Linked DNA regions of Macaca fascicularis. The main gene of each other region encodes a partner of the protein of the gene in region 3 in a complex. Links are inferred from orthologs where the notes say so. Each region holds a gene or a part of one and is shown on either strand. Other genes may lie near its edges.

The links.
Region 1: the proteins of GIGYF1 (region 3) and TNRC6C are in contact, whole or in part, in a crystal structure (PDB 7RUQ), measured with the Homo sapiens proteins. The link is inferred for Macaca fascicularis from reciprocal best matches to the Homo sapiens genes GIGYF1 and TNRC6C. Residues at the interface, in NP_001362694.1 of Homo sapiens: Tyr479, Asp481, Pro482, Gln487, Phe490, Trp498, Tyr503, Phe504, Leu508; in NP_001136112.2 of Homo sapiens: Arg1719, Pro1720, Pro1721, Pro1722, Gly1723, Leu1724, Thr1725.
Region 2: the proteins of GIGYF1 (region 3) and EIF4E2 are in contact, whole or in part, in a crystal structure (PDB 5NVK), measured with the Homo sapiens proteins. The link is inferred for Macaca fascicularis from reciprocal best matches to the Homo sapiens genes GIGYF1 and EIF4E2. Residues at the interface, in NP_001362694.1 of Homo sapiens: Leu36, Ala37, Asp38, Tyr39, Arg40, Tyr41, Gly42, Arg43, Met46, Leu47, Leu49, Tyr50, Glu53, Asn54, Lys55, Val56, Pro57, Glu59, Leu60, Glu64, Phe65, Ala67, Val68, Leu69, Gln70, Asp71, Glu72, Pro73, Leu74, Gln75; in NP_004837.1 of Homo sapiens: His54, Pro55, Leu56, Gln57, Tyr64, Lys83, Gln84, Ile85, Gly86, Val91, Glu92, Trp95, Arg96, Phe97, Tyr98, Ser99, His100, Met101, Val102, Arg103, Leu107, Phe113, Ile137, Arg138, Leu139, Arg140, Gly142, Leu143, Ser145, Arg146.

What each region holds. Positions count from the first base shown.
Region 1 is NC_088390.1:84,518,067-84,525,145, forward strand, and holds part of TNRC6C (trinucleotide repeat-containing gene 6C protein), read left to right. Parts: intron 1-1,622; coding exon 1,623-1,814; intron 1,815-2,318; coding exon 2,319-2,462; intron 2,463-6,407; coding exon 6,408-6,524; intron 6,525-6,995; coding exon 6,996-7,079. UniProt on the Homo sapiens protein: Plays a role in RNA-mediated gene silencing by micro-RNAs (miRNAs). Required for miRNA-dependent translational repression of complementary mRNAs by argonaute family proteins.
Region 2 is NC_088386.1:128,464,944-128,472,562, forward strand, and holds the start of EIF4E2 (eukaryotic translation initiation factor 4E type 2), read left to right. Parts: upstream 1-2,879; 5' UTR 2,880-2,930; coding exon 2,931-2,950; intron 2,951-3,272; exon of another isoform or gene 3,273-3,419; coding exon of another isoform or gene 3,420-3,424; intron 3,425-7,619. UniProt on the Homo sapiens protein: Recognizes and binds the 7-methylguanosine-containing mRNA cap during an early step in the initiation. Acts as a repressor of translation initiation.
Region 3 is NC_088377.1:49,283,114-49,290,791, reverse strand, and holds the start of GIGYF1 (GRB10-interacting GYF protein 1), read left to right. Parts: upstream 1-3,015; 5' UTR 3,016-3,148; exon of another isoform or gene 3,149-3,327; intron 3,328-7,678. UniProt on the Homo sapiens protein: May act cooperatively with GRB10 to regulate tyrosine kinase receptor signaling. May increase IGF1 receptor phosphorylation under IGF1 stimulation as well as phosphorylation of IRS1 and SHC1.

The DNA.
Region 1 (7,079 bases), on a different chromosome or scaffold from region 3:
AATAGTAAAACACAAATAGAAAATCAAATATGCAGTATGTATGGGAACTGCAGCTGTAAATACTAGGGTGCATTTCTGTTGGTTATTCCCCTCCATCCAAGCAGTCTGTCTTACTCCAAACTGGTGTCCCCATCAGGAACTCGTTACCGATGGACACACCAGTAAGGTGGAAGCAAAAATGATACCCGTAGGAGGTACTTTCAAGCATTAAATTTAGCTCTGAACTTGCTGGTAGAATAAACAGCAAAGGAAATTCAATAGGTTATGTAGTTCTCTCTTGATACAAAGCATTCTAAAAAGAAAAAAGAAACTATGGGCCGGGCGCGGTGGCTCAAGCCTGTAATCCCAGCACTTTGGGAGGCCGGGGCGGGTGGATCACGAGGTCAGGAGATCGAGACCATCCTGGCTAACACGGTGAAACCCCGTCTCTACTAAAAAATACAAAAAACTAGCCGGGCGAGGTGGCGGGCGCCTGTAGTCCCAGCTACTCGGAGGCTGAGGCAGGAGAATGGCGGGAACCCGGGAGGCGGAGCTTGCAGTGAGCTGAGATCCGGCCACTGCACTCCAGCCTGGGCGGCAGAGCCAGGCTCCGTCTCAAAAAAAAAAAAAAAAAAAAAGAAAAAGGAAACTATGTCTCATGGTTAACTTACGGAAAATCATCACACACTGCTGGCACCTTTCTTAGCAGGAGGGCCTTGCTGCCTGTGGCTAGTTGGTTTGGTTCTGTATGAATTTTTAACATCCACTGTGTTCTTCCATAGTGAGGGTTTCAGACTAAAAGGAGGGAAGAGGTAAGAGCAAATTTGATAACTAATCACAAAGACTCATAAGTTGTCCCCAAAAAGGTTTATTAAGGGCAGCTTCCCATGGTATGGATATGTATTTTATAAAGATTTCAGGCCGGGCGCAGTGGCTCAAGCCTGTAATCCCAGCACTTTGGGAGGCCGAGATGGGCGGATCACGAGGTCAGGAGATCGAGACCATCCTGGCTAACACGGTGAAACCCCGTCTCTACTAAAAAATACAAAAAACTAGCTGGGCGAGGCGGCGGGCGCCTGTAGTCCCAGCTACTCGGGAGGCTGAGGCAGGAGAATGGCGTGAACCCGGGAGGCGGAGCTTGCAGTGAGCTGAGATCCGGCCACTGCACTCCAGCCTGGGCGACAGAGTGAGACTCCGTCTCAAAAAAAAAAAAAAAAAAAAAAAAAATTTCTAACTGGACAAACTAAAATTGTTCTTCAGGGGTTTCGGTCTTTCAGGGCTGAAATTGGAGCTGGCTTAAATAGTCACTGGCCAGGCATGGTGGCTCACACCTGTAGTCCCAGCTACTTGGGAGGCCAAGGTGGGAGGATCACTTGAGCCCAGGAGTTTGAGGCTGCAGTGAGCCCTAATCACATCACTACACTCCAGCCTGGGCAACAGAGTGAGACATTGTCTCAAAAAAAAAAAAAAAGTCATTGATTCTTACAGAATCCTAGACAGACCAAGTCTTACAATTCATGTAACCGAATAGAGCAAGGCATTGGACCTAGAACAGAAGGTGCATAGGGAGGCTTAGGGTATCTTCTGCTGTCTCTCAACTGGAGGGTATTCACTCGCTTCTTTGTTTCCTGTTGTCCCCATAGGTGCTATCCCTGGAGGTCTAAGCATTGGGCCTCCAGGTAAGTCCTCCATTGATGACTCCTATGGCCGGTACGATTTAATCCAGAACAGTGAGTCACCAGCCAGTCCTCCCGTAGCTGTTCCCCATAGCTGGTCACGTGCCAAATCTGACAGTGATAAAATCTCAAATGGCTCTAGCATCAACTGGCCCCCAGGTAAGACCGTGCAACACTTCCGTGCAACAGCAGCAGGTCAGAACGTGCTCCAAGCCTGCAGAGAGTGATGAGGCTGGGAGGACCCAGAATCTGAGCTAAGGATCTGGAAGCGTTAAGCCCAGAGCTTTGGCATTTTCCTTGGAAATCCATTTGTCAGATCAATTTTGGGTATGGTTAGCATCAGGCATTTTTCTGTAATCCCTTAGTTCAACATGAGAAGTGGAAGGGGTGGCAGGGAGGAAGCACACTGTATACCATCTGGTAAAACTATTCCGACTCTGTGTGAAAACTATCTTAATATGATAGCTAGAATACCTGGTTCTAGTTTGTTCCAAAGGATTGATTGTTTTAATGAAAGAGAGTATCAAGAGTATAAAGTGTACCTCTCATTTAATTAGCAGATTATAAAAATTTCTACAAACAGGACAAAACATCTTTTAAAATGTCATGAATCAATGTGCAGATGTTCTGATCTGTGGCTTCTCATTTGGGTTTCTTAAACAGAATTCCATCCGGGAGTTCCATGGAAAGGACTACAGAATATTGACCCTGAGAATGACCCTGACGTCACTCCTGGCAGTGTCCCCACTGGGCCTACCATCAATACCACCATCCAGGATGTCAACCGCTACCTCCTCAAGAGTGGAGGTGAGGGTGCTGCTCTGCCTGCCTCTGCGCAGACGGTCTCTCTAGACCCATTTGGAGATGTCAGGGGTGACAGGTTGGGCTCTGAGGCAGGGATGATACAAGGCACAGTTGAAGCAGTCATCTGAAGCAGCATGAAGAGACGGCAGTTAGTGCTTATGGGAAAATGGACATCAATTTGAGTTTCTGCTGGAATTTTTTTTTTTTTTTTGAGATGAAGTCTCACTCTGTCACCCAGGCTGGAGTGCAGTGGCACGATCTCAGCTCTCTGCAACCTCCACCTCCTGAGTTCAAGCGACTCTCCTGCCTCAGCCTCCCAAGTAGCTGGAATTACAGGCATGTGCCACCATACCAGGCTGATTTTTGTATTTTTAGTAGAGACAGGGTTTCACCATGTTGGTCAGGCTGGTCTCGAACTCCTGACCTCAGGTGTGACCCATGCTGCTGGATTTATTGATAAGTAATGTCTTATCATAAAAGTGCCATCTCTGACAAAGTTTTATCACAGCATGCTATTTTGTGGAAGAAAGAGCTAGATTGCCATAGGTACTACCACTAATAAGGCCACCTAGGTAGTTCCCAAAACATTAAGTTTCCCACTTGAAATATGACTCATTGGAGCCTTGTGTTTTGTGTTTGCTTCTTTTCTTTCTTTTTTTTTTTTTTTTGAGACAGATTCTTGCTCGTTTGTCCAGGCTGGAGTATAGTAGCGTGATCTTGGCTCACCGCAACCTCCGCCCGCCTCCCAGGCTCAAGTGATTCTCATGCCTCAGCCTCCCGAGTAGCTGGGACTACAGTGTGCACCACCACACCCAGCTAATTTTTTCTATTTTTAGTAGAGACGGTGTTTCACCATGTTGGCTAGGCTGATCTCGAACTCCTGACCTCAAGTGATCCACCTGACTTGGCCTCCCAAAAGTACTAGGATTACAGGCGTGAGCCAGTGTATCTGACTGCTTCTGTGGTTCTTTAAAGTGATAGGCTTCTCAATGTATCTTTGACTGGAAGGCCAACATGAGTACAGATTGCCCTGTCTGTTTAATGCTGTGTATTCCTTGGGGTTACACAGCTGCTTTTCGGATGCAGCTGCTTTTCAGAGCAGGGGTGTTATGGGTGTCCCTGCTGTCAGACACAGTCAAGTGGTACCCAAAAGGGAGCCGTGTGGCAGAGGACAGGTGAGGCGCCAGCCAGAATCAGAGACCCAGCCCTCCCTGCTTGTCATACCTGGTGGGGCACCAGGGTTGTGCCAGACAGGAAAGTTATATTTTGAGGGTTGTGGAGAAGTGGGATGCAGGTTGTACAGATCCAGGTCATAAGGGAAGTTGGAAAGAATCGAAGTTGCTTAATACATGGCAGAGCTCCCTGAGTGGTGCCCAGATGAAGGATCAAGTGGCCCCTTAGCCTCCAGGCAGAACCAGGGCCACTGGGAGTGGCCTCCGCCATCGCCTGAGTGTACCATGATGTGATGAAGATGGCCTGAGAAACACGTGGCAGCTGTTCTCCAGCTCCACATGCAGCTGTCCTCCAGCTCCATAGCCTGTCCAGTTAAGGAAATCAACTTGCGGGGAGGGCAGAAGAGAACCTCAGCCTAAGAAATGCATTGGCCATTGAGATAAGGCAAGGCAGTGGCATCTCCAACCCTGAGCCTAAGAACCAGCCAGCCAGCCAACCTGGGTGACTTGTAGCTCCAAGTGAACATCGTTTGACTTCCCGGGTGCTTGATGTTTGGGTCTTGAGCCTGCCCTGGCACTTGTGCACAAACATCAGTATTCAGCAGCAGCCAGCTCAGGTGGCTCATGCCAGGCCTCCCCTTCAGCTCATGACCAGCACTAGGAACCTTGTTCCTCCACTCTGGTACCTCTCTTGGTTGTATTTAAGGATACATTAGGGTTTGTTACTGAAAGAAAGGGTAGTACAATGAACATCTCTTCACGTAGAAGTTGCTAACCAGAAAGCACTAGCAGGCTGAGCACAGTGGCTCACACCTGTAATCCCAGCACTTTGGGAGGCCAAGGTGGGAGAATCACTTGAGGCCAGGAATTTGAAACCAGCTGGGCAATATAATGAGACCCTATCTCTACAAAAAATTTAAAATGAAAACATTAGCTGGGTGTAGTGGCACACATCGGTGGTTCCAGCTACTCAGGAGGCTGAGACAGGAGAATCACTTGAGCTTGGGATGTCAGGACTGCAGTGAGCTGTGATTGGGCCACTGCACTCTAGCCTGGGTGACACAGCAAGACTTCGTCTCAAAAAAAAAAAAAAAAGAAAAGAAAAGGCCTCCCAAAGTGCTGGGATTACATGCCTGAGCCACTGCGCCTGGTCAAGCTGACACCTTTTTAAAGTAAAGACCTTCCTGAGCAAATTAACACAGGAACAGAAAACAGACAGCCTGAGTTGACATAACACAAAGAAGGGAGCAGCAGACAGCGGGCCTGTTGGAGGGTAGAGGGTGGGAGGAAGGGGAGGATTGAAAAACTTCCTGTCAGGTACCATGCTCACTATCTAGGTGATGGAATGATCTCTACAACACACCCCCACAACACACAGTCCACCTGTGTGACAGACCCGCACGTGTACTCCCAGAACCCAAAATAAAAATTGGAAAAAATAAAAGTGAAGACCTGCAGATTACCCATAAATGCTAACTTTCCTCAACTCTGGTGCCCTCATTCTAAAGAGGTCACTTGCAGCAGGGCAGCTGCAAACAACTGTGCAGGTTGGACACTGCATGTGTCCAGGAAGTGCCACACGCCTGGTTATTCACTGCACAACGTCATGTGGGCCTACAGCTGAGATGCCATGGCTTTTCAGAAACCATCCGATTCTGTGTGTGGTCATCAGTTTAACAGCCAGACTGTGCTTATGTTCCCTCTGCTAGCCAGGATCCATGCCCTGCAGAGTTATTGTCCCAATGAGAGCTCTTTCCATTCTGCATTCACCCCAGCTGTCACCGTTACTCCGTCCTCACTCTTCTCCAGCTTCTTGCTTTCTTCACAGAATTGAAAGGGAGAGCCACATTAGAAAATACAAAATAAAACCAAGCAGCGAGGAGCTGAGCTTTCACACAAGGGATCGAGGTGCCTGAAGGATGGCCCATTTACCCCAAGTCTCCCTTTCAGGCACAGGGACGAGCTTTCCTCAGAAAACTACAGTCCTAGGGATAGAATAACTCAAGTCCATATACACAGTTATTAGGACAGATGTCTTTTAATTATTCATGTATTTAAAAAGGGAATCATGAGCCGGGTGTGGTGGCATCTGTGATCCCTGCCGCTCAGGAGGCTGAGGCAAGAGGATCACCCAGCCCAGGAGGTTGAGGCTGCTGTGCACTGTGATCACGCCTGTGAACAGCCACTGTGCTGCAGTGTGGGTGACATAGCAACTGTGCTGCAGTGTGGGTGACATAGCAACAGCCCCATCTCTAAAAAAAAAAATTTTTTTAAGCAAAATACGAGTTCGGAAGCTGATGGGACACCCCAGTCAGAAGAAATGTTCAAATTTTTATGGCACATTTTGTAATGAATGGCTTGGAGTTTTGTTCTTCTATTTTGTAGCCATTGTTTGAACTGTGAAAGGAGTAGATTGCCCTGGATTTTTATTTTATCTTATTTGGGAGAGGAAATCAATGTGGTGCTTTAAAACTCTGACATGGCATTTTAAGCATTCTGGCGGGAATTCTCAAAGAAGCTCATGCTGCTTCTTGCCCTTTGATTCCTCCGCCTTCAGCAACATCCCAGGCCTCCCTGAGTGGCTACAGGGACCCAGAATAGGAGGCATGCCCTGTTTCTTCCTTCCCACATGACACTTTCATGTTCAGGCTTCTATTAAAAATGGCAGCCTAGGGAGAGGTTGATTCTTGATGGTTAAGATTCTCACACCCCGCAGTTAGAGTCACGAACCCGGACACCGCCACCACCTTGCTCAGTGCCGTGTTTGGTTCTGCAGGGTCCTCCCCGCCATCATCTCAGAATGCCACGCTGCCTTCCTCGAGTGCCTGGCCGCTCAGTGCCTCCGGCTACAGTAGCTCTTTCAGCAGCATTGCATCCGCACCTAGCGTTGCAGGTACGCGCCTAGCCTCTAGACTTGCAGGTAGCATTTTCTTTCTTTCCCCAAACAAAACTTTGACAGGCCCCAGCTTTTCCTATTGGCTCTTCACTCACTCCCTGAGCTGGGAGGCCGTGTGGCATGATAGAGGATGGGTGGGGGCCTTGCCCAGGCACAGTGGGCACCTTGGGCACATCAGCTTGCACACACATGGAAGTGGTGACATCTTCTCCATACAAGTGTGTGGGCCCATTGCCTTTTCTCTTCCTTTCCCCCATGGCCACAAGACAAGGGGTATGCAAGGTTTTGAAAACTTAGAGGCAAAACACTTCTGGGAATTTGCAGTTACTTGAGTTTGCCAGGGGCTTGACTTGGTGTTTCTTTGCCTATCACACAGTCTGCTGGTGTTAGAGAGCACTCTGTGTGGCTCCCCAAACACAGCAGTGTTTGTCTCAAGACTGCGTATTCTCCATCTCTCTGCCTTTCTAGGTAAACTGTCAGACATTAAATCGACGTGGTCCTCTGGCCCTGCCTCCCACACGCAAGCCTCTCTGTCTCATGAACTGTGGAAGG
Region 2 (7,619 bases), on a different chromosome or scaffold from region 3:
TCTCTGAAAGCCTCAGAAGGCAGAGGATTAGCTCCTTGTACACAGTAAGCACTCAAATTGGCTGCCATTACTATAGGTTACTGTCTCATGGGATCCATATAGTAACCTGAGGAGGTAGGAAGACGTATACCTCAAAGATATACCAGGTTCAGTTCCAGACCAACACAAGAAAGCAAGTCACATGAATGTTTTTGGTTTCCCAATGCACATAAAAGTTATGTTTACACTATACTGTAGACTAGCAAGAGTGCAATAGCATTTTCTAATAAAACAATATACATACCTAAATTTTAAAATACTTTATTGCTAAAAATGCTAATGATCAATCTGAGCCTTCAGTGAGTCGTACTCTTTTTGCTGGTGGAGGGTCTTGCCTCGAGGTTGATGGCTGCTGACTGGTCAGGGTGGTGGCTGCTGAAGGTTGGGGTGGCTGTGGCAATTTCTTAAAATAAGACATCAGTGCAGTTTGTCTCATCAATTGACTCTTCCTTTCATGAAAGATTTCTCTGTAGCATGCGATGCTGTTTGATAGCATTTTGCCCACAGTAGAACTTCTTTCAAAATTGGAGTCAATCCTCTCAAACCCTGCTGCTGCTTTGTCAACTAAGTTTATGTAATATTCTAAATCCTTTGTTGTCATTTCAACAATGTTCACAGCATCTTCACCAGGTGTAGATTCCATCTCAAGAAACCACTTTCTTTGTGCATCCATAAGAAACAGCTCCTTATCCGTTACAGTTTTATCATGAGACTGCAGCAATTCAGTTACATCTCTAGGCTCTACTTCTAATTCTAGTTCTCTTGCTATTTCCACCACATCTGCACTTACTTCCTCCACTGAAGTCTTGAACCCATCATAGTCATCAATGAGGGTGGGAATCAACTTCTTCCAAACTCCTGTTAATGTTGACATTTTGACCTCCTCCCATGAATCACGAATGTTTTTAATGGCATCTAAAATGGTGAATCCTTTCCAGAAGGTTTTCAATTTGCTTTGCCCAGATCCATCAGAGACATCTCTATCCATGGCAGCTAGAGCCTTATGAAACGTATTTCTCAAATAATAAGACTTGAAGGTCGAAATTACTCCTTGATCCATGGGCTGCAGAATGGATGTTGTGTTAGCGGGCATGAAAACAACATTAATCTCCTTGTATATCTCCATCAGAGCTCTTGGATGACTAGGGGCATTGTCAATGAGCAGTAATATTTTGAAAGGAATCTTCTTTTCTGAGCAGTAGGTCTCAACAGTGGGTTTAAAGTATTCAGTAAACCACACTGTAAACAGATGTGCTGTCATCCGGGCTTTGCTGTTCCATTTATATAGCACAGGTAGAGTAGATTTAGTATAATTCTTAAGGGCCCTAGGATTTTCAGAATGGTAAACAAAGCATTGGCTTCAACTTAAAGTCACCAGCTGCATTAGCCCCCAACAAGAGAGTCAGCCTGTCCTTTGAAGCTTTGAAGCCAGGCACTGACTTCTCCTCTCTAGCTATGAAAGTCCTAGATGGCATCTTCTTCCAACAGAAGGCTGTTTCATCTACATTGAAAATCTGTTGTTTAGTGTAGCCACCTTCATCAATGATCTTAGCCAAAGCTTCTGGATAACTTGCTGCAGCTTCTACATCAGCACTAGCTGCTTCACCCTGTGCTTTTATGTTGTGGAAACGGCTTCTTTCCTTAAACCTCATGAACCAACCTCTGCTAGCTTCAAACTTTTCTTCTGCGGCTTCCACACCTCTCTCAGCTTTCATAGAGTTGAAGAGAGTTAGGGCCTTGTTCTGGATTAGGCTTTGGCTTAAGGGAATGTTGTGGCTGGTCTGATCTTCTATCCAGACCACTAAAACTTTCTCCATATCAGCAATAAGGCTGTTTCGCTTTCTTATCATTCGTGTGTTCATTGGAGTAGCACTTTTAACTTCCTTCAAGAACTTTTCCTTTGCATTTACAACTTGGCTAACTGTTTGCCGCAGGAGGCCTAGCCTTCGGCCTATATCGGCTTTTGACATACCTTCCTCACTGAGTTTAATCATTTCTAGTTTTTGATTTAAAGTGAGAGACGTGCGACTCTTCCTTTCACTTGAGCACTTAGAGGCCATTGCAGAGTTATTAATTCGCCTAATCTCAATATTGTTGTGTCTCAGGGAATAGAGAGGCCCAAGAAGAGGGAGAAAGATGGGGAACAATCTGTGGGTGGAGCAGTCAGAACACACACAACATTAAGTTCGCGGTCTTATAAAAGACGCTGTATGTGGCACCCCAAAACAATAGCAACATCAAAGATCACTGATCATAGATCACCATAACAGACACAGAAATCATGAAAAGTTTGAAATATTTTGAGAATTACCAAAATGTAACACAGAGACACGAAGTGAACACATGCTGTTGGAAAAATGGCGCTAATACAATTGCTGGACTCAGGGCTGCCACAAACCCTCAATTTGTTTTTAGAAAGTCCTATCTGCGAAGCGCAATAAAACGAGGTATGCCATAGTATAGTGGCGCTGCCGCCAAAGGAAAGCCTCGGGAAGGTTAAGAGAGATACCGGAGAGTGCGTCCGGCACTGGAGGAGGAGGAGGGTTTTTACCAGGCAGCGAGTCCAGAGCCCGCGCTGTCAACGACGCGGTGCTGCCTTTTTTCGGAGGCGCTGCAGGAGGGCGCCTGGACACGCTCCCTTAGGAGAGCGGGCAGGTCACAGGACCTGGACGGCGACAAAGCTGAGACCTGAAGCCAGCTCCGCCGCTGAGGCCAACCCTCTGCGCAGCCGCCCTGGGCTGGCGTCCCGAGATAGACGCCCCCAAACCGGGCCTGCGCGTGGACGTTCCGCTGTGCCCCGCGCAAAACCGGAAGTACCCGGGCCTAAGGCTGAGGGACCCGGTGGAGCGGAAGTCACTCCCTGAGGCAGTGGCGACAGCCGCGGCGAGAGGATGAACAACAAGTTCGACGCGTGAGTGGCTCGTGGCCGCCCCCGGGGCCCCTTCCCCCAACAGTTCCCCCGCGCCCGCCCCCACTGGGGCTAGGGCGGCGCAAACCCGGCGGCCCCGGCTTCCCTGCCGGGATCAGGCTGCGGCCGGACCTGGCCTGGGCTGGCGGGGAGGAGGGGGCTGGGGAGCGATGGATCCCGGGGTCCCGGAGACCCCAGGGCCGTCCGAACCGAGGGCGAAGAGCTGAGCCCGGGGGAGGGGTGGCTGTGCCGCCCGGTAGGGGGAGATTTTCGGACGCCCCGCCCCGGTGGATGCGGATTGCCGACGACGTGGAGGGGTGGGGACCTCGGCGGTTTGGGTGTTTCCGCAGTCTGGCCGCGCTGTCTCTGAATCCAGCTTTCCCCACACACTCCCTCTCCCCTCTGAGCCTCAGTTTTCTCATCTGCAGAGTGGGGACGGTAACACCCTTTGTCGTAGAGTTTGGAGGATGCAATGAGGTAATGTGGCGGCTGCCCTCGACGCGGTGGAAGGCTGGCTTAGGAATTAGCATCTTCCTGAGACTCTTCCTACTTTCTTTCTCCTCCCACTCCCGTTCCCGTCTTCCAACACACTCGCCAAGACTTGGGTATACTTGTCGCCCTCTCTTGCCCGCTCCGGTTTCTAGTTTCAGCATCAAACAGTTTGGAGGTACAGAGGGAAAATGCAGAAGTATTTTTACTTATTCCCCTCCAAGGATTGTATCTTGAGGTAGAATATGTTCCTACCTCTGTTCCAGTAGTCTAGTAAATCTGCCTCTTCATCTGAAAGCCTGGATTTGTAGTCCCAGATTCACCACTTACCAGCTGTTTGACTGTGGAAAAGTTACCCAGTCTCTGAGCCATTGTTTCTCAAACCACGTTAGTGGTTAGTACCCTGCTGCCACAGCGGGGTGTGATAAGGGTCAAATCACACTCAGCAATGCTTAAAGATATTTGTGAAACATTGCTAACTACTGAGATATAAACGTAAAGTGGAACTACTATTAGTTTAGGTTGTGATCTTGTGCTTTTGATGGGAAATTAGGGTTTTTCCAATGCAGAGAGTACTGTGCAAATTCAAAGAGTACTGGATTTCCAACACTCCAGGCAGGTAGGTCCTCAGGCATGTTTGCTGGTTGCTGAGAGGTCTCTGCTACTTGAGAAAGTCTTTGCCCGACCTCTTCTCTATCCTTAGGTTTAACTGAGCCTATCCCTCTACGAACCTCTCCCACACTGCCGTCCCATTTCATCTCTATCGTAAACCCTGCAACACCTAGTTCCAGATCCACATCCTGCCTCAGTGGAGCTTTCTGGAACCTTTATACCCCTTCCTCCACTGATTTGCACAAACCAAATTTCATCCTAAGAAGACATCTTATGGGTCATCTAGCTCAGGCCTACCTAAATCATTTGGGGGTCTGCAGTAAGAATGGTAATAATGGACTTCCACAGGGATCTTGCTAGGTACTTTTCATATATATATGTTTTTTGAGCCAGGGTCTCACTGTGTCACCCTGGCTGGAGTGCAGTGGTGTGATCACAGCTCACTGCCCACTCAACCTCCCGGGCACCAGCAATCCTACCATCTCAGCCTCCAGAGTAGCTGGGACTACAAGCATGTGCCACCCTGCCTGGCTAATTTTTTTGTATTTTTTGTAGAGACAGGGTTTCACCATGTTGCCCAGGCTGATGTCCAATTCCTGGACTCAAGAGATCCACCCACCTTGGCCTCCCAAAGTGCTGAGATTACAGGCGGGAGCCACCACCCCCAGCCTCATATGTTATTTCTACTCTAACAACTCTGTGAAGGGGATCTTGTTATCTCCTTTTACAGATAAGGAAAAGGAGACTCTGAGATTAAGTAATGCCCAAGACAACAGGAAAGGAAGGGCTATCCCAGGTTTGTTGTGTAACCTTGGTTCAAGCACCTTGTGAGAAAAATTAAACTTGTCCACTTTTTTATCTTAGCTCTTCTATGATTGAAGAACCTGGGTCATTTTAATCACTTTGAATTATTAACTATTATATTGAGCCAGAATCTTTTAACATCTACCCTCTAGCATTGCAGGAAGAAGAAAAACAAGCTTTCTTTCATTTGAAATTAGCAATTGAAAACAGCACTCCTGCCCCTAGTTTTATTTTTTTATGTTGTTTTTCATTCAGAAATTCTGCAGTTTTTAGGCCATTGCTGCATATTTGGAGTCTTTATCACATTGCTCTCTTTACTAATCTGCACTCTTTACCACATTGCTCTTAAGGACATGTTCCAGTTTGCCAGAATTCTTCCAGAAGTCCAGTGGCTGGAGCTGAGTACAGTAGTATATAATCTAATGGGCTCATATTAAAGATTAGCTCTAATCTCCGTTACTGTATGGACTCAACTTCTCTGAATGAAACCTTTGATTATAATTGCTTTTGTGGAGAGGGGGTAGACCTATCAAGTCCTTAGATTGCATTGCCAGTGATCCTATTGATATGTAAAACCCTAAGATGCTTTCACAAAAACTGCAGTCCTGACGTAGTTAAACATGGTTTTCAGATCTAGACCACTGTACTTGATTTTGTCCGTATTCTACATCATTTGCTTTTTATTCTGTATCGTTAACTTTGGGCCCATTCCTAACTATTGTCTAAACCACGTATTTGGCACTCATTGCTTTGATTCTATAGACCCATTCATTAAATGGAAATTTGTTTTATGCCACTGTCTGATGGTGGGGGTATAAAGATGAATTGAACCAAGGTCTTGCCCACAAGGAATTGGTCTAGTTCAGAGGGTGAGGAAATACCTGGGCAGAAGCTTAGCAAGCTAACTAAAGTTCCTCTCAGTCTGGACAGCCTCAGAGTTGCTACCTGACTGCCTGAGTTTACAGAGCACTGATTTTTCAGGCTGAGTGGTATCTTGACTCAAATCCAGCTTGAAGCTGGGAAGAGTAGCTTATAAGATTTGCCTTAAATATAGGCTTAGAGGGCAGAGTAGTTGGTTAGTTCCACCCTCAGGTAATAAAAGCACTAGGTGTAGGTCCATTAGGGTTCCCATTTACTGTCTTAGAAAGGAATCCGAAGTGGTCCAGGGATCACAGGAACATTGTTTCTTCTCTGACAATTATTTTTGTTAGTTTTTTCTCTGTTTCCTGGTAGTGATAAGCAGCAAAACCACTAAAAAGAAAGGAAGGTATATGCTTTTCTTGGGACTAGCAAAAACAAGATGCTGGGATGACTATACCCCTCTTCAACCAAGATCTAAATGCAAGGGACCCCAGAGGCTATAGTGGGAGTTGGAAGCTAAGAAGAGAGGAATAGGGTTTGCATCCTAGGGGTGTGCCCTAAAGAAGAGAGTTGAGAGCTGTCCTGGGCCTAAGCAGAAGAACCCTTGAGATGTTCTTGATCAGGAGACAGAACTGGCCATGAGAGTATAGCTGGAACAAGTGCAAACATTTATATGGGGAAGTTCAGAAGAGGAGAGCCCAACTTAGCCTAGGTCGGGAGAGGTTAGGAAATGTTTCCAAGAGAAAGTGGCCCTCGATCTGAGTCCTGTAGGACAAGTTAACTAGGCAAAGAAGGACTTCTTGAGGAGAGACCACATGATGAGCACAGCAGAAGGATAAAATTGGGGCATCAAAATTACGATGATACAACTGGAGTGAAAAGAGTTCGTTGGGACCAGGAAGGAGATGATATTGGGACATGTGAGCAGAGCAGGGGCCTTTGCACCGTGCTGAGGCATGGATATATCTGTGAACCTTTTCTCCTCAGCTGGGTCCTTGGGGACAAGCACTCTGGTAGCTCATACACACCATAGATGCTTGGTAGATGTTGGTAATTTTTAATCCATAGATCTTGTGTGCTAGACAGACTCCTTTTGAAAAGGAAACCAAATGTTTAATAAAGGGGAAGGGAATATCATAAGCGCAGATGATGGTCTCCTGAAAGTCCAGGGAGGCTGAATAAAAGCCAGAGAGATGGTAGCACCAGCAACAAAATGAAAGTCCCCTGCATTTTCTCTGCTCATCTGCCCCATTCTCTTATCTCCTGGCTTTCTTATCTCTTATCTCCTGGCTTTCTCTGCTTTTGCTCATTGTCTTAATTCTTTCAGGGCTTTTCTTGCATGGGGCGCATATGGCTGCCGCAACTCCTAAGTCTATGATCTTTCTCCTCCTAGATGAATGCTGAGGGGAGGAATCTGCTTATATATTTGAGCAAGGCCCTGGGGCATAGGTTATTGCCCGGGCTGGACTGCCCTTTGGTCAGGTGCCCTTCCTAGTTGTGTCTTGACCAGGGTAGGGATGGGAAGGTTCATGGCACAGGGCATAACCTCCTGAGATTATCCTACAGCTAGGCCTGTGAAATGGGGAGAGCAGGGACCCCAACATGTGACTAGTGCATTCATTCTAATATTTATTGTGTGCTTTTAATGTATCAGGCACTGGGGATTCATGGGCAAAAAAAAAAAAAAAAAACACAAAGTACCCTGCAACATGTTTATGTATCTGAATAGGATAGTATCTGAATTATAATTGGAGCATTTCTTGTACCATTCTTGAGAACTGCCTAATTTCATTTGACCACATATATAGTTATTGGGGCAAGAAAGATGATTGGAGAGATCTCTGATGAGTTAATGGTCCAACCCTAGAATAAATGGTTTTCTTATTGTCTTTGCAAACTCACCTTC
Region 3 (7,678 bases):
TCCCCACCAACTGTAAAGTGTGAATACTGATGCTGACGTCACCAGAAATTAAAGCCTATGAACTCCCTCTTTGAGAAAGGAAGCTAGGTGGCAGGGCACGGTGGCTCATGCCTATAATCCCAACACTTTGGGAGGCTGAGGTGGGAGGATCCCTTGAGGCCAGGAATTCAAGACCAGCCTGGCCAAAATGGTGAAACCCCGTCTCTACTAAAAATACAAAAATTAGCCGGGTGTGGCAGCTCACACCTGTAATCCCAGCACTTGGGGAGGCCGAGGCAGCCAAAATGGTGAAACTCTGTCTCTACTAAAAATACAAAAATTAGCTGGGCATGGTGGCGCCCACCTGTAGTCTCAGCTACTCAGGAGACTGAGTTGGGAGGATCATTTGAACCCAGGAGATGGACGTTGCACTGAGCTGAGATCACGCCACTGTACTCCAGCCTGGGCGACAGAGCGAAACTCTGTCTTGAAAAAAATTTCAAAATTAAATAAAATATAAAAACAGACAGCAGGACAGGCATAGTGGCTCACGCCTATAATCCCAACACTTTGGGAGGCCGAGATGGAAGGACTCCTTGAGCCCAGGAGTTCGAGAAGAGCCTGGGCAACATCGTGATACTTCAGTCTGTACAAAAATTTGAAAGTGAAAAATAATAGCCAGACCAGGCGCAGTGCTCATACATGTAATCCCAGCACTTTTGGAGGCTGAGGCAGGTGGATCACTTGAGTTCAGGAGTTTGAGACCAACCTGGCCAACATGATGAAACCCCCTCTACTAAATATACAAAAATTACCCAGGCATGGTAGCACACACCTGTAATCCCAGCTACTTGGGAGGCTGAGGCACGAGAATGGCTTGAACCTGGGGTCGGAGGTTGCAGTGAACTGAGATCACGCCACTGCACTCCAGCCTGGGCAACAGAGTGAGACTCTTTCTCAAAATAAATAAATAAATAAATAAATAAATACCTGGGCATAGTGGTGTGCCACTCCCTGCAGTCCCAGCTACTCGGGAGGCTAAGGAGGGAGGATCACTTGAGCCTAGGAGGTCGATGCCCCAGTGAGCCATGACTGTGCCACTGCACTCCAGGCTGGGGAGCAGAGCAAGACCCTGTCTCTTAAATAAATAAAACAGTTAAAAAAGGAAAACAGGAAAACGCCAAGTGCAGAGAAGCCTAGTAGTACTTGGTGGGGGAAACAAAAGTTGTTCCAGGTATAATAGTTCCTGAAGTCTATCATGGCAAGACACCAGGCACTCAAATTCCAGGTCATGAACTTACCTTTTCCTTGTTTTGAGGATTACATTGTGTTGGGCAACAGCAGTAAGGTATACATTCTGGAGTAACTTCCAATGAAAAAGGTGAAAGCATACGCGGAACTTTGCAGCTCTGAAAAAGTTCAGCCAGTCGTTCTTGAAAAGTCCTCTTTTTAAACAAAGGGGGTTTCAGTCACCTCACATTTGCATAGCAGTTTCTCTCCTGTCAAAGCCTTTCACATTCACTTATTTTAATTCTTACAGCACTCACTGAAGAGTGTGGAGTTGGGGGTCGGGGGTGGGGCGCAGAGCAGTGTTAACATCTTTCTGTAAGAGAAACAGAGACTTTTGAGAGGCCAGGCATGGTGGCTCATGCCTGTAATCCCAGGACTTTGGGAGGAAGATCGTTTGGGTCCAGGAGTTCAAGACCAGCCTGGGCAAAATGGGGGAAACCTGTCTCTACAAAAAAAAAAAAAAAAAAAATTAGCTGGGTGTGGTGGTGTGCCCTGGTAGTCCTGGCTACTCAGGGCACTTGAGGCAGGAGGATTGCTTGAGCCCAGGGGGCAAGAGGATGCAGTGAACTGTGATCGCGACACTGCACTCCAGCCTGGGCGACAGCAAGACTCTGTCTTGGAAAACACACAAACAAGAAACTTTAAAAATTAGTTGGGTGTGGTGGCACACGGATGTAGTCCTAGCTATTCAAGAGCCTGTGGCAGGAGGATCCCTTGAGGCCAGGAGTTCAAGACCAGCCTGGGCAATGTTGTGAGACACACCACCTGCCCCCATCTTTACAGAGAATAAAAAAGTTATCTGGGCACTATGATGCACACCTATAGTCCCATCAATTCGGGAGGCTGAGATGTGAGGATCGCTTGAGACATGGCAGTTGGTGGCTGCGGTAAGCCGAGATCGGGTTAGTCCACTGCAGCCTGGGTGACAAGAGTGAGACCCTGCTTCAAAAAAATAAATATATAGAGGCCGGGCGCGGTGGCTCACGCCTGTAATCCCAGCACTTTGGGAGGGCGAGGCAGGCAGATCACTTGAGGTCAGGAGTTCTAGACCAGCCTGGCCAACATGGCGAACCCCTTCACTACTAAAAATACAAAAATTTAGCCGAACTTGGTGGTGTGTGCCTGTAATCCTAGCTACTCGGGAGGCCGAGGCACGAGAATCACTTGAACCCGGGAGGTGGAGGTTGCAGTGAGCTGAGATCGCGCCACTGCACTCCAACCTGGGCGACAGAGCCACACGCTGTCTCAATAATTAAATAAATAATAAGAAAAAAAAATAAAAGAGGCTCTTGAGAGTCAACTCATCTGCCTGAGCCACTTATTTCACACATCCCAGGACGCCTGATGAAGGGTTCTGGATTTTATTGTCTCCTGTCATCCAGGCGGGCTTCCTGGAGGAAACTGGACCGCCAGGGAGGCCGCGGCCTCGGTTCCAAGGGTCGCGCGTCGCAGGGTCGGAGGAGGTGGGGAAGAAGGGGCCGCTCCGGGGCCGACCCCGCCCGCAGTTAGGGGCCCACGTCACGTGACCAGCCGGGCGCCCGGGTCACGTGCCGGGGCGGGAAGGTGGGGGCTGTCGGGGGCGACTGGCGTCCGGACAGCGGCGCGCGGGGCACGCGAGGAGCGCAAGAGGAGAGGCGGCGCAGGCCGGAGCCGCGGAGGGAGGCGGCGGCGGCGGCGGCGGCGGAGGAGGGGGCGGCCCCGCGGCCCCGCGTCCGCGTCACGTGGTGCGAGGCGGGCAGCCATCTTGCTACAAACACAAACACAGAGGAGCGGCCGCCGCGGGAGCGCCAGCGTCCCCTCCCCCGTCGCCGCCGCCGTCCCCGGCCCCAGCCCGCCGCGCGCCGCCCACGCCCCGGACCGGACCCTTGCGCCGCCCGCGGTAAGCGCCCGGCGTTCCCGCGGCCCCCAGCTCACAGCCCGGCCCCGGGGCAGGCCCGCCCCCGACGCCGCGGCGGCCGCGCCGAGCCCGCGAGCTAGCGAAGCGCTGGAGCCAGCGCGCGGGCCGCCGACGAGGACCCTCCCCCGTCTCCTCCCCGAGGCCGCTGCCGCCGCCGCCCGGTGCGTCCGCCCGCCCTCCCGCCCGCTCCGGCCCCTCCCCGCCGCCGGGACCCTCCCCCAGAGCCGGCCAGCCTCGGGGAGGCCCCAGGAGGCCGGCGCCCGGCTTGGGGGGCGACCGCTCGACCCCCGCGCACCTGGCGCCCCTCCCTGAAGGGCACGCCGTCCTCCCGGGCCGGCCCGCCGCCTTCCACCCCCGCGCTCCTAACGGTCGCCCCCGGGCCTCTGCCAAGCCCTGCTGTGGGCCGCCTGGGGGCCCCCGACCCTAGCGTCCTAAGGTGTCCGGGCCCCGCGCTCCCCGGAGTTCTCCCCAGCGCGCCTTTGGGTTCCCCTCGGAAGGAGCTGGGCCTTGCTGTTCCCCAAGTCCAAGCTTTCCACGACTTTGGCCAACATGGAAGCCTTCTCCTCCACCCAGGCACCTCGCCTGAGTCCTCCTCACCTCCGTTTCCTTTCGCTCCGGCGATCTTAGTGCTGGGTCATTGGGGTCTCCTTCCCAGTTGCACAACCGCGGGAAACACCTTCCATAGTAGAGACTGCTTTCCCTCCCCGTCCCAGGCCAGGCCCTTCCCAGCTCATGACCCTCGGTGCAGCAGCTCCCTGGCCACAGCTCTCACACCTTGCCTTAAAAAAAAAAAATTTCCAAGTAACTTTTTAAGAGCCCCTTGTTTGTCTCCTCTGTTACACAGTCATTACTCGCTTTCCCGGTGAGACTCTAGGTCTGTTGTATCCTAGTGCCAGGAACTGGGAGATGCTACATAAAGACTTGTTAGTTGGATTGAATTTTTTTTTTTTCCAATCACCCAAGCCTTACTTCCCTCTTGCCTTTCAAAGTGTTGTTCTGGAAGATCGTCCGCTTTCCCATCCTCTTTGCACTGCCCCTTCGAGTCCATATAGCAGTTTCGATTTAGAACCCCGCCAACCCCTGGCCTTTGGCATGGAAACACCATCGGTGGTACCAGTAAGGGTCTCTTCTTTGCTGTCGACATGGGGGATTTGGGGTTCTTTCTCCTTCCCATCTTTCCTGTGCCCTTTGCAGACTTAGGCTAGCCACCCTCCACCAGGCTAGCCAGCTCTAATCTGATTTTCTTAGATTGTAGGTCTTGGTACCCCAGCGGTCTGTCGTGTCATTGGGAAGGATTTGGGGGTAGACCTGGACTTGGTGTCCCTGCCATTGCCTGGGAACCAGGGGCCCTGAGGGTCCCATGGGGTGGTTAGTCAAGTGGACCATGTGCTTAAACTTCTGAACTAGCTTGTTCTCCTGTTGGACACATCAGTCTTGTGTCCGTGATCTGATGCGTTAGCCCTAACTTTTACATGTGCTATTAGAATTTGGGAATTAAAAAAGAAAAATAGCCCACTATAGAGGAGAGAAGATGAGAGGAGGCGGCTAGATGAAGGAGGTTGAAAGTCTAACAAATGTGAAATGGCTTCAAACTCACAGAGTAACGCTTGAGAGTTTGGGATGGTCATTACTGCCATCGTGCACACCTCCAGTATTCCATAGAGTGTCGAGGATGTCGGGGCACACTGTCGGAGCAGCTTCCTCCTTGTTTTCCCTGGCTGGAGCCCATGGCTGGGCAAGTGGGCAAAAGGGATCACAGGAGGTAAAGAGTGAAAATGCTTAAAAACTGTTAACTTGTAGGCAGTTGCCAAGCGGTGGTGTGATTTGTTGGGATGGCTCAGAGAGGAGAGAGCAGGGATAACTGACCAGCCGCCAGGAATGCGGGCTTGCATCTCTTCTTTAAGCCTCAGCGTCTTCATCCTACCACGCTTGGAGAATCTCCATCCTGAGAAAGGCCCAGGTCCCCTCCAGCAGGCCTGGGGCTGGGCGGTGGCTCCAGTGTTGGGGAACTGGGGACTCTGCTTCTGTTTAAGTGGCACTGTTCTGTGCCAAGGCACAGTGCTCCGTGTTGGAGCTAATTTTAGGGGTGATGGAGTGAGGAGATAATGTTCTTAGCTGAATGTGCACTGGAACCGCCTGTTCTCCGTCTTTTCCTTCTCCCTTGAGTTCTGAGCCCCAGAGAGCGGGCTCCCTTCCCGCGCCCTGGTGCCTGCTGGAGCACCCAGGCCCAGCATGTCCTCGCCCCTTGTTTCCGGCAGGGGGCAGTCTTTCAAAAGCATTGATTCAGATGCTGGGGGACTGAGGGTAGACAGGCCTGAGAAAGAGAAGGGGTGGGGAGGGGGCGAGGCTTGAGGGAAGGGCCAGGGCGGGGGACAGGCTGGAAGGGGCCTGTGAGGAGGAGACCCTGAGCTGAGAAAGCTCAGCCGGAAAAGCTGAGGCGGGCAGGTGGCGGTCCCCCATCCCCCCCGCCACCTCCTGCTCTTGTCTTCATTGGACAGGAATCAGATGCCTGGCTTTGAGAGCTTGCAATAGACAAACTTAGGCAGTTTTTCTTAAAAAAAAAAAAAAAATCTGTTCTTTTCTCAAAGATTTCCTCCTGGCAGGATTTCAGATTTCCCTCGTGGGACAGTGTAATTAGGGAATGATATCCCTGCTGTTCAGAGAGGAGAGTGACCCAGCTTTGCACACACCTGGCTTCCCTTGCCTTCCCCTTGGCCCAGTAGACCCCCGAGGGCTCTGCCCGTGCTCGTGGCGCAGAGGAGGGCATCTCAGCACTGGCGTGCTTGGAATCTGGAGTCACATAGCTCTTGGCTGTGGGGATGCCCTGTGCACCCCCTGCCCAGTGGTGACAGCCCAGAATATCTCCAGACTTGGCCAGGAGCCCCCTGAGGAGCAGAGGGGCCCTGAGTCCAGAACCTGTTGGAGGGTGGGAGCCCCATGGTAGCCTGCAGCTGCGCCACTAGTTCCTTTAGTCCAAGGATGGGGCCAGGCACTACCAGCTTCCAGCACCAGACCCTGCTGTGGGGGCACCTAGAGAGTTAACCTCAGTCTCCTGGTTTCTTCCCAAGAAGGCAGGTGGCATGGGCTTTTTCCTGCTCTGGGCCTGCTCTCTCCCTTGTCTTGGTGTCGCTGTCCTCAGGCTGCATGAGCCACTCCCCCTTGTGTGTGCCCCTTGCAGCTAAGACACAGTCAGGATGGGGGACTCCAGCGGGAGGAACCCAGGAGAGCTGCCCTTGCTGCGCCTGGCAGGGGGCAGTGTGAGGCCATTACTTTAAGATTTTTTTTGTTTTTTGAGACAGTCTTGCTCTGTTGCCCAGGCTGGAGTGTAGGGGCGCGATCTCGGCTCACTGCAACCTCCGCCTCCTGGGTTCAAGCGATTCTCCTGCCTCAGCCGCCCAAGTAGCTGGGATTACAGGCACCTACCACCAGGCCCGGCTAATTTTTGTATTTTTAGTAGAGAGTTTTGCAACGTTGGCCAGGCTGGTCTCAAACTCCTGACCTCAGGTGATCTTCCTGCCTCGGTCTCCCAAAGTGCTGGGTTTACAGGCATGAGCCACCACGCCTGGCCGCTTTTTCTTTTTAAAAAAATGTTTAGAATTGTTTCTGTAGAGTCATGGTCTTGTTCTGTTACTCAGGCTGGTCTCGGACTTCTCTCTTCAAGCCTCCCACAGTACTGGGATTATAGGTATAAGCCATTGTGCTGGCCAGGTGGTGCCTTTTCTGTTCTACCCTCTCCCACCCTCATGCCTGCAGGATGAGCTTCAGGCCTTCTAGAAGGAATGAACTGGAGGAGGCTCAAAACAGCCTCTCCTGAGGCTGATTTGAAGGAATGTGGGGTGTTTTTCTTGGAGTGGGGAAAACTTAGGTATGCGGTGGTTATCTCCAGATACCTTTTGTTCCCTAAAGGTTTTTTTAAAAAGTGATTATTGTGGTAAAATGTACAACAAAATTTGGATACTTTAACTGTCTCTAACTGTGCTGTTCTGTGGCACTGAGTACACTCACATTGGTGTCTGGCCCTGACTACCAGCGGCCCCAGGATCTGCTCCTCAGTTGAAGCTCTGGGCCCTTCAGCAACAGTTCCCTGTCCCCTCAGCCCCTGGTGACTGCCCTTCTACCTTCCTCCCTCAGTGAGTGCCTCCTCTAGAGACCTCATGAAAGAGAAGTAAGGTCTAACTCTCCTTTTTTGGCTGGTCTGTTTCACTTAGCATCATGTCCTCAAGTCTCATCCAGTCCCCAGATTGCTCTAGGAGGCCACCTGCAGTCAGCGACAGGCTGGTGGCTTTGCGTGGCGTGGAGCACACCACCACCGGAGCATCCACCCGAGGCTGAGGAGGGAGAGGCCCCAGGGGAGGCCACCCTGGCCCTGGGTTGCCTCTGAGCCCTGTGGTTCCCCCTGGGGTGCTGGGACTCTGAGCAGGCCTCGGCATGTCATGGGCTGCTGGCTCAGCTGGGGCTGATGGCCTTTCCCCCTTAGCATCCTGGTGGAACCCCCTTCCTCTTCTTTCCCAG